Linked DNA regions of Drosophila melanogaster. The protein of the gene in region 2 interacts with the protein of the main gene of each other region in a pairwise test. Each region holds a gene or a part of one and is shown on either strand. Other genes may lie near its edges.

Region 1 (4,845 bases), on a different chromosome or scaffold from region 2:
TTGAACTGATATTACTAGTTACGTATTAGAACACAGATGTAATATTTTTATCGTAGAACGTTTTACATTTACAAAACCAAAGTTACTAGCTTCGGTTTTGAACTTTTGCATAAATTGCGTGCTTTTTGATGAAGAAAATGAATTCTGGTATTTCTATTTAAGTCACTCCATATTTCCAAAATGACTATATTAATAATATTTGTGATGTTTGAAATTTATATAGATTACAACTATATTTTAAGTGAATAGATTAAAGCTTAATTTAATAGGGCTAAGTACCTTGGATATAATCATTGGTTTTCTGTTTAGTTTGACCAACAATTTTATAATCTTAAGCTGACTTTGTCCAACTCTTCTGGACCGATTCAAAACGCTAACCCCGAACTAGCTTAGATGCTAACTTATTTAATTTCCGTGCTAATTTTCAGACCTGTAGCTCCATTCACTTCATATTACGTTTTATAATTTTGGCTTAACTTTTCTTTATGGCCGCCGACAGTTTTAATCAATGGCCATAAAGAGTATTTTTAAGCCAAATGATGCTAATTTTTTGGAATTGATAGCGCTAATTTTTGTCTACAAAAACCGCAAGCGACAGATGCTGGCTTATTGAGGCCCAAAAAAAAAACGTGCAACCAATATGAATGAAGCTTTTCCATGCGCGCCACTTTATTGCAGCCAATTGCGCCTTGACTTTCATTGTGCAAAATAAATTAATTTCACTTGGACCCCGTTATTGATAGCAATTTAAAAACAATTGAGAAATATTTAATATTGCCTTCAATTGAAGAACTGTAAAAGGAAGCACTACAACAAAGAATTATGATAAAACCGTTCAATTCCCAAAAATTTGGCGAGTCGGCACATGGCTTTGTCAATTAAGGCCTTTCTTAGCACGTCGATCTAGGGATAGAGATGAATGATATCGGTGGATAACAATTAGTCGCTATTAGAGTACCGTTACTAGACCTTAAGTTCAACACTAGGAATGTAAGAAATTTAGTTTCTTTCCCAATGGTTATGTGGCTATTCACATTAGTAATATTATTTAATGTTTGTATTAACTTATATATAAGTTGAGTTAGTTCCGCAGATCCGTAATAATTTTTACAAGTCTGAGATGGTCCACCCTAACGACAGATCGACGCCATACGCCCTGAGCCACTCTGAAGAGAAGAACGCCCACACAAAAAGGCAATGTTCTCTTTGGGGCAGCGACTAATGGCAACAGCTGTTCTTGTTGATAAATAGCATAAAGATTTTTGTCGCCTTGTTTTGTGAGAGAGCAACAAATGCAAGTCAGCCTCTGAAACAATCACCTGGAAGGATACGTGTGTCGGGAATGTAGATAGATAAGTTGGTCTGGATAGTGCGTGCCACGGAAAATTAGCCTTGCCTTTGTTTCACTTGCATTCCACAAAGACGCACGCACACACACACGTGCACAGAATGACCCTTACAGTGGGGCTTTGGTATTGGTATTTGTATTTGCGGGTCGAACGCCACGCTCTTTTGGAGCGAGAGTGAGAGAGCGAAGAGAGAGAGAAACATAACGGGCTAGTGTATTTATTTTAATATTAGCTTTGTGACGTTCGCTCACCAAATCAGTATTTTTCGTACCATCGGCGTTAAAACACATGTTCAGCGATTTAGTGCGGGAGTGTAAACTAATCTGAGTAACAACAACAGCATCGTCGGCAAAGCAACAACAACGGCAGCAGAAAATTTTAACACGTTGACGCTTTTTCTAGTGTTTATAGCGAGCGGAAAAGCTTACTAAGCGCGTAACAAGCGAGACCCCGAAATCTTTTTTCATCTCGGTCTTTTCGCCTTTGCGTCTTTGAGTGTGCGTGCCAAAATTCAAATACGTCATCGACGCGCGCAGCCTTAAATCGAAAAGGAATGAAATAATTGATATACACAAATGCCAGCGAAAGATTGAATTCAATTGCAGGAGCAACAAATAGCCAAACAAATTGAGGAAAACAATTCCTCCAACCGCACAGCGACAACTTCAATTAATTAACTTGTTATTGTGTAGTAGCAGTCCGCTTCTTGCCATTCACCGCGAAACGCAGCCACACAAAAGAACGTGCAAAACAGCTGGGACTCGAACTGAGAGTAACGGAACGTCGAGCAACAAGTGCAGCAGCAGCAGCAGTAGCAGCGAAAACAGCAGCAACATCAGCATCATCAACAACAATACAAAGCCCTTTCAATTGCTGGAGAGAGGGGTGGTCCATGTGTCTATGTGCACTCCAATGAATACGAAGACAACGGCCACTTTTGTTGTTGCCACAATCAATTAGAGTGATAGCAGGCGGCAGAGGAAAAGCAGCGCGGCAGCAGCATCCGCATCAATTTGCTGTCAGCATCTGAATCTTCGGGTCGGCATTATTCCGAAAAGTGTGAATGTGAGCGTAGTTGCTCCCGTTCCGCCTCCGTAATCGCAAGTGCTTGTTGTTATTGTCGCACTCGTCTGCGATCCGCGAACCGCGATCTTTGCTTGTGTTTGTAACGGCGACGTCGTCTTGATTGGAACGCTCTGTATTTCTTGACTTTTTTCGTGCTTTTTTGATTCCGAAACTGGTGTATCTGTAGTTTCCCGCTAACGGCGAAAATTCACACAACTCATTGATATTTTAACCTCGTGTCCGCGTTGGCTGCCGCTCGACCAAGGTTCTGCCGCACAAAATGCTCGTCTCTTTGGGCTTTTCGAAGCCTCGCTTCGTCGGATTAAAAGTGCTCCTCTAGCACGCTCGCAAGTTAGTCCGGCCACAAAAATAAGAAAACCCAAAACTTTAAAATATAACCATAACCCATTGAATTGGCAGAAAAAGTTTTCACCACCCACCGAATCGTACCGTTATCGTTATCGCGAAACAGAATCCACAGATAAAAAACGTTCCGTTTCACTTCGTCGTAAATACAGTGCTAAATCGTGTGAAACAAACTAAAGTCGCTGCAAAAACAGCCTAATTTGTCTAATGAAAGCCGAGAGCATTTGTGAATAATTAGCCCCGAAAAAAAACCTGTTCGCAGTCACCGCAAAAATTAGGCCCCAATAAAAAGTGACGATCCAAGAAACTGGCATCTCGCCCGCTTGATATATAACACCCCAACACAAACGTAAAGTTCGCGATAACACCTATACAAAATAAAAAAAAGAGAGAAACCAAATCCAGCGAATCAACTTCAGAGTAAAGTCGCAAAGTCAGTGCAAGCCAGAGCAAAATCGTCGAGCAAACCGAGTAGTTGTCCAAACGTTAAGTCGCAAAAAGTCTAGGAAACCACCCCTACAATCGCTATCAGATTTCTAGTGCTAATACGATCGAAATAATGTCAGCCTTCTGACAGTGTATAACAAATAAAGTTACATAATCACCGTTGCAAATCCAATTTTTTTTTGGAAGCGAACCCCCAAAAGTGCCCAATTGGAATGTCGAATATCTGACAGTGACCAAACAAACAGCGAAATCAGTCGAAACCAAACTCAAGAGAGAACCCCAACTGCAGAAGGAAAGCGAGCGAAGTTGTTATCAGTGAAAATATACACACATATATATTCGATTTCAGCGTAAACAACTACTATATAATGTCCGTCGCCATCTGACAGTGGTCCAAACAACCAGCACAAAGAGCTAGAAGTCGCCGCAGCCAGTGACAAGTTTCACCACAGCGAGTGAGACCTGTACCGTAGAACCAACACAAGACACTTAAGCTTGCAACACGGGCTAACCAATTCAGCGATAAATGGAGAAATCTGAAATACGACTGCAACGCATGTCTAATGAATATCAGTCGCAATCGAGCTATATGTACCTCCGGACCAAGATGCTGTTAAAAATCGAGAATACCCTACTTCGAAGCCATCGTCAGCGCGAGACCACCGGTATCAAGAAACTATACAATTCGTTTTTCGTATTGTTTTAATTTGCCCCCCCGGCCAGTCCCGAACCCTCTCAAAAGGCCCCAAGAACACAAAACGCACAAAAGCAAAATTTACAATTCCACTCAACTGTGAGCCAAGTTAGAAAAAGTTACAAGAAAGCAAGTTATACATGTTATACCTACGTTAAATAAATATATGAATAAACTAGAGATATTATTTGGTTGTTAGTAGAACTCACGTCAAGTGCATATGGTTAGCCCTCGTATATCCAAAGTGCTGTGCGACGAACGAACGATTAAGTAAATAAGTGTGTCATATGAGCATTTTGAACAAGCCAAGCCAAAATGTTAGCCTAAGCAAGTAATCAGTAAGTGTTGGTCGATCAATATACGGTTTCTACTTCGAATATTACTATTACCATCAATCACTTTTGTTGCATTTCGCATTGCACCAAAAAACTTGAGCAAAATTGCTGGCGAAATTACTCCGGTCGGAAGTGGTGTTTCGTAATACGGGTGAGAGCGATCACGGTCAAATAATTCAGGAGGATATCAAACAACAAACAACAATAAGCTTGGACTAATAGAGACCAGAACGCGATTCTAACGCCGTTAACTCACGTACCGAATGGCGCTTTCGTTTCTATCCCAAAACTCCGGTCTGTTGGATTTACAAAGCATATTCGATCCACAATATACTCATCATCAACAACAACAACAACAACTACTACATTTGAGCCACCACCCTCAACATCACATTCAACAACACCAAAATCAACAACTACAACAACAAGCGGAGCAAATTCAACAACATCAACAAGAACGCACCCTTTCAACAAAGTTCGATTTGAACCTGTTCAACGAACTCGACCAAATGGAATTCAACAATTTAAATCGCAGTCAATATCAGAATAATAATAATAACAACAGTATCAGCAATAATCAAAACTCCAA
Region 2 (3,629 bases):
TTTTCCTAATGAATTGGTTAGCCGACTGCTTCTGGAACTGCAAAATGAAGTGGAGTGCTTTATCCTTCGCATGGCCGCAATATTTCCAACGCGAAAGGATCAGCTAATCTACCTGATAAACAACTACGATTTGGTTTTGGGCGTGTTGATGGAGCACACGCGAGATAACTCCAAAGAAGCGGAGGCATTCAGAGAGCAGCTCAACTCCCGCAGTGCGGAATATGTCGAGGAGATCCTGGCCCCTCATTTCGGAGGCATTATTCAGTTCGTCAAGGAGTGCGAGCACTTCTTCGAGAAGGAACAAATGGATGAGCTGCGCAAACAGGAGCGAAGAAGTCTGGCCTTGGTCGCCAGCTTCTCGGCCAATTGGAAGAAATCTCTGGAGGAGCTAAACAGGGAGGTGCTTCTCTCATTTCCCTCATTGCTGACGGGCTCACAGCTTCTGCAGCTTGCGTTGGCCAGTTTGGTGCAATACTATCACCGATTCCACAAGCTCCTCACGCCCAATGCCCGCGCCCAGCTGACCAATATCCACGTCGTGATGGTGGAGATCAAGAAGTACAAGAGCAATTACTGAGGGACGCTTTAATTGAATCTGTGTGTGTGTCTTCTGTGTATTCCAAATTGAGTAAAGTTCCAAAATAAATGTATGTAAGGTATACGACTTAATCCTCATCCTCGAACATCATCTCGACGAGATCCTGATTGGAGCAGCGCTCGCCATCCAGACGCTGTGGCCGCTTCCAGCGCAACAGAGTGGGCAAGAAGATCAGATGCGTGTTGGGATCCTTGCGGAAGGGGCAGTTCAAATCCTTCCAGCTGCAGTGAAAAACAAGTGTTAATTTATTGCTTACCACGGTTCAGTGATAACAGGCGGCATGAATACAACTCAAGAGCATTGTAAAGCTATCGTTGTTTAATGGTTTTTTTTATCATGAATGTTCTCGGCGTGTGAAAAAGTACTCGAGTGCTTATTTCATCATCGTACAGTTGGGGTTGAGTGACTAGTTTCACATTGCCAAAATGTTTTGAACTTGATAATCGAATGACAAAGGGTTTTGGCAACTGAATGACGTGGGATATATGCATATATGTACGTCATTCTAAATGACTAAGCCTGTGTTTTGAAACTATTTGGCTATTTCGAACCAAAGAAACCAGCAGATGTTCGCAGTCTCGCAGTGCATGAAATATTAATTCCTGCTTATCTAACTAATCGCAGCTGTTTTCTTCAGTTTGGCGGTATTAACTTACTATGCCCGCTCGCCCACATCCACATGCACGAAGTGCGAGTTGCCCGGGGCCTTCTTCAGCGCATCGTGTATCACCGGCTCCGCTGCAAACGTGAGAAATGAGTTTGGGAATCGGATAGGTTGCGGTTAGCCGCATTGGGATCACGGCATGCTCACCCTTGACGCAGTAGGGGCACCAGCTCTCTCCTTTCTCGTCCTTGCCGCCACTGAAGAGGACGTGGACCGGCTCGTCGCCGTTCTCCAGTTCCTCCATCTTTTTGGTGAACTCATCGTATCCCTTGACGTTGTGTGTGACCACCATGATCTTGCTGGGATTAGTATTCACCGCGCAGTAGCGTCTGAGTATGCGACCGAAAAGCGTTGGAAGCGACGTGATGGCGAACTTTGGAGTAACTGGCTTCTGGAGGGGAATGGACTTCTCCTAATTTATCAGGTTTTCTGACTTTTTGACGTAAAAAAAGCTTACTATCACAGATGGCAGGGTTACCAGCTTTCGAGCGCACTGATACATGGCCATTTTCAAGCCAATGAAAATAATAGATTTTTAGCTACGAGCTTAGATTTTGAAACGTATGAAAGGGAAATAAATAAGAACAGATACGTTGACTTCGAAATTTATTTGTAATATATATGATTTATTTGTAATATTATCTGTGTACCCTAAACATATAAAATTTACTTTCAACAATTTCTTGTTTTTAGTAAATATCGAAATAATAAAAACGCCATTCTAGCTGGCTATAGCCATTTTAGCGGGAATAGCCCGATAACCCGCTAATTGGTGAAAATGTGCAACACTATTTGTATCGAAAAACTAAACAGCTGATTAGAATTCTTTTTTTCGTAAAGTACGTTTATTTGTTTTTTACCATTGATTTCGTCGTGAACGATGTCACGGCTAGCTTTATTGCGCAATTTGGTCACTCAGCGGCAAAATTTGTTGCCCACCAACTTTGCCAGGTTAAAATGTGCGGCGGCGATGCACTGGAGTCCACATTTGCGACAGGAAGCGTCGCGCGGTTTGTGCCTCAAACTTCTCATCAGGTTACATCTGAAATATTTACTATATTATTCATGCAGATGGTGGCGGATCCCTTCAACGATCGCAGGATAACACCCAGGTGTCGACGGATGTGCGCCCCATTGGCGAGAAGATCAAGGAGAACACTAAGACGGCCAGTTATACGGCGATTATAATCGCCGGATTAGGGGTGACCTGCGTGATGTTCTTTGCCATATTCCGAGAGCTATTCTCCAGCGAAAGCCCGAACAATATATACGCGGACGCGTTAAGACGTGTGGTCGAAGATCCGCGGGTACAGGATGCAATTGGTGCGCCCATCAAGGGATTCGGCGAGACATCCAGGCGCGGTCGCAGACAGCATGTGGCGCACTCGAGCTACGAGCGCAATGGAAAGCCCCACATGCGGATGCAGTTCTATGTGCAGGGCTTGAGGAACAAGGCCACCGTGCAGCTGGAGTCCAGAAGGGTATGTGTGATGAATATCTCCCAGGCCGCATTTTTCTAATCCTCACTTTTTACAGAGTGACTCTGGTAAACTGGAGTATCGTTATCTGTTCGTGCAATTGGATCACTATCCCCGCACCACCATCATCCTTGAGGACAACCGTGCATTTGACCCCACCCCCGAGCCAGCGTCCGCTGGATCTTCCTTTGGCAACCTAGCCCTGATGTCCAATAGCCGGGATAAGTAGGCGGATCCTTCCGATCTTCTGCTCTCCTCTTAAATTCTCTGTACATTTGTTATATTTATTATTTGACTGACAATGAAATTGCATTGGGTAACCAAGCAGAGTCACCTTTAAGTTATTCGCCAATCGAGAAGTTGTCCATCTCCAAAATGGCGCCCGATTGGTGTCAGTAGAGCTTTTTCCACGGTATGATCTCCCAGGAGCGAACGATGTGGCGTCCGAAGAGAAAGTCCTTCAGCTTGTTCATTATGTAAAACGAGATGCCGAAGAAGGAGGCGAAGTACAGCCAGAACTGTCCAAGCCGTTCCCAAATGCTAAGATGATAGCGAGCGGCAACTTGGAGCACGTCCAGCTCCAGGTCAATGATGAGACCAGGCTGCAAGCGCGCTGACGTTTCTCTGTAGTATGTCTCCTGCACGGCCAGCTGGAAATATGCTGGATTGGCCTTGACTTGCGCTAGCAGCGATTCCATCTTGAACTGATCTATATTTCCGTTGGTAGAGTTCGTATCCAATTGAACCTGTCGGAACTGAGTCTTGATGTTGCGTCCCGGAAATGGACAGGTGAACTCTACGTATTGCTTCAGCTGCAGCTCTCCCTTCAGTTGAACGTGTCCATTTCTGAGGCGAGCGTGCAGAGGAAGCTGTAACTGATGGGCCAGCA

Evidence for each region.
Region 1: the proteins of CG7382 (region 2) and gem interact in a two-hybrid assay, tested with the Drosophila melanogaster proteins (one large-scale study listed by BioGRID).

What each region holds. Positions count from the first base shown.
Region 1 is NT_033778.4:10,122,687-10,127,531, forward strand, and holds the start of gem (gemini), read left to right. Parts: upstream 1-1,606; 5' UTR 1,607-3,753; coding exon of another isoform or gene 3,754-3,933; 5' UTR 3,934-4,519; coding exon 4,520-4,845. Other genes in the region: CG46319 (uncharacterized protein), read left to right, coding at 3,754-3,933.
Region 2 is NT_033779.5:5,518,326-5,521,954, reverse strand, and holds CG7382 (uncharacterized protein), read left to right. Parts: upstream 1-2,058; 5' UTR 2,059-2,142; coding exon 2,143-2,272; intron 2,273-2,333; coding exon 2,334-2,743; intron 2,744-2,798; coding exon 2,799-2,969; 3' UTR 2,970-3,062; downstream 3,063-3,629. Other genes in the region: Vps52 (vacuolar protein sorting 52), read left to right, coding at 1-577; cl (clot), read right to left, coding at 666-819, 1,255-1,336, 1,410-1,554; CG14020 (uncharacterized protein), read right to left, coding at 3,133-3,629.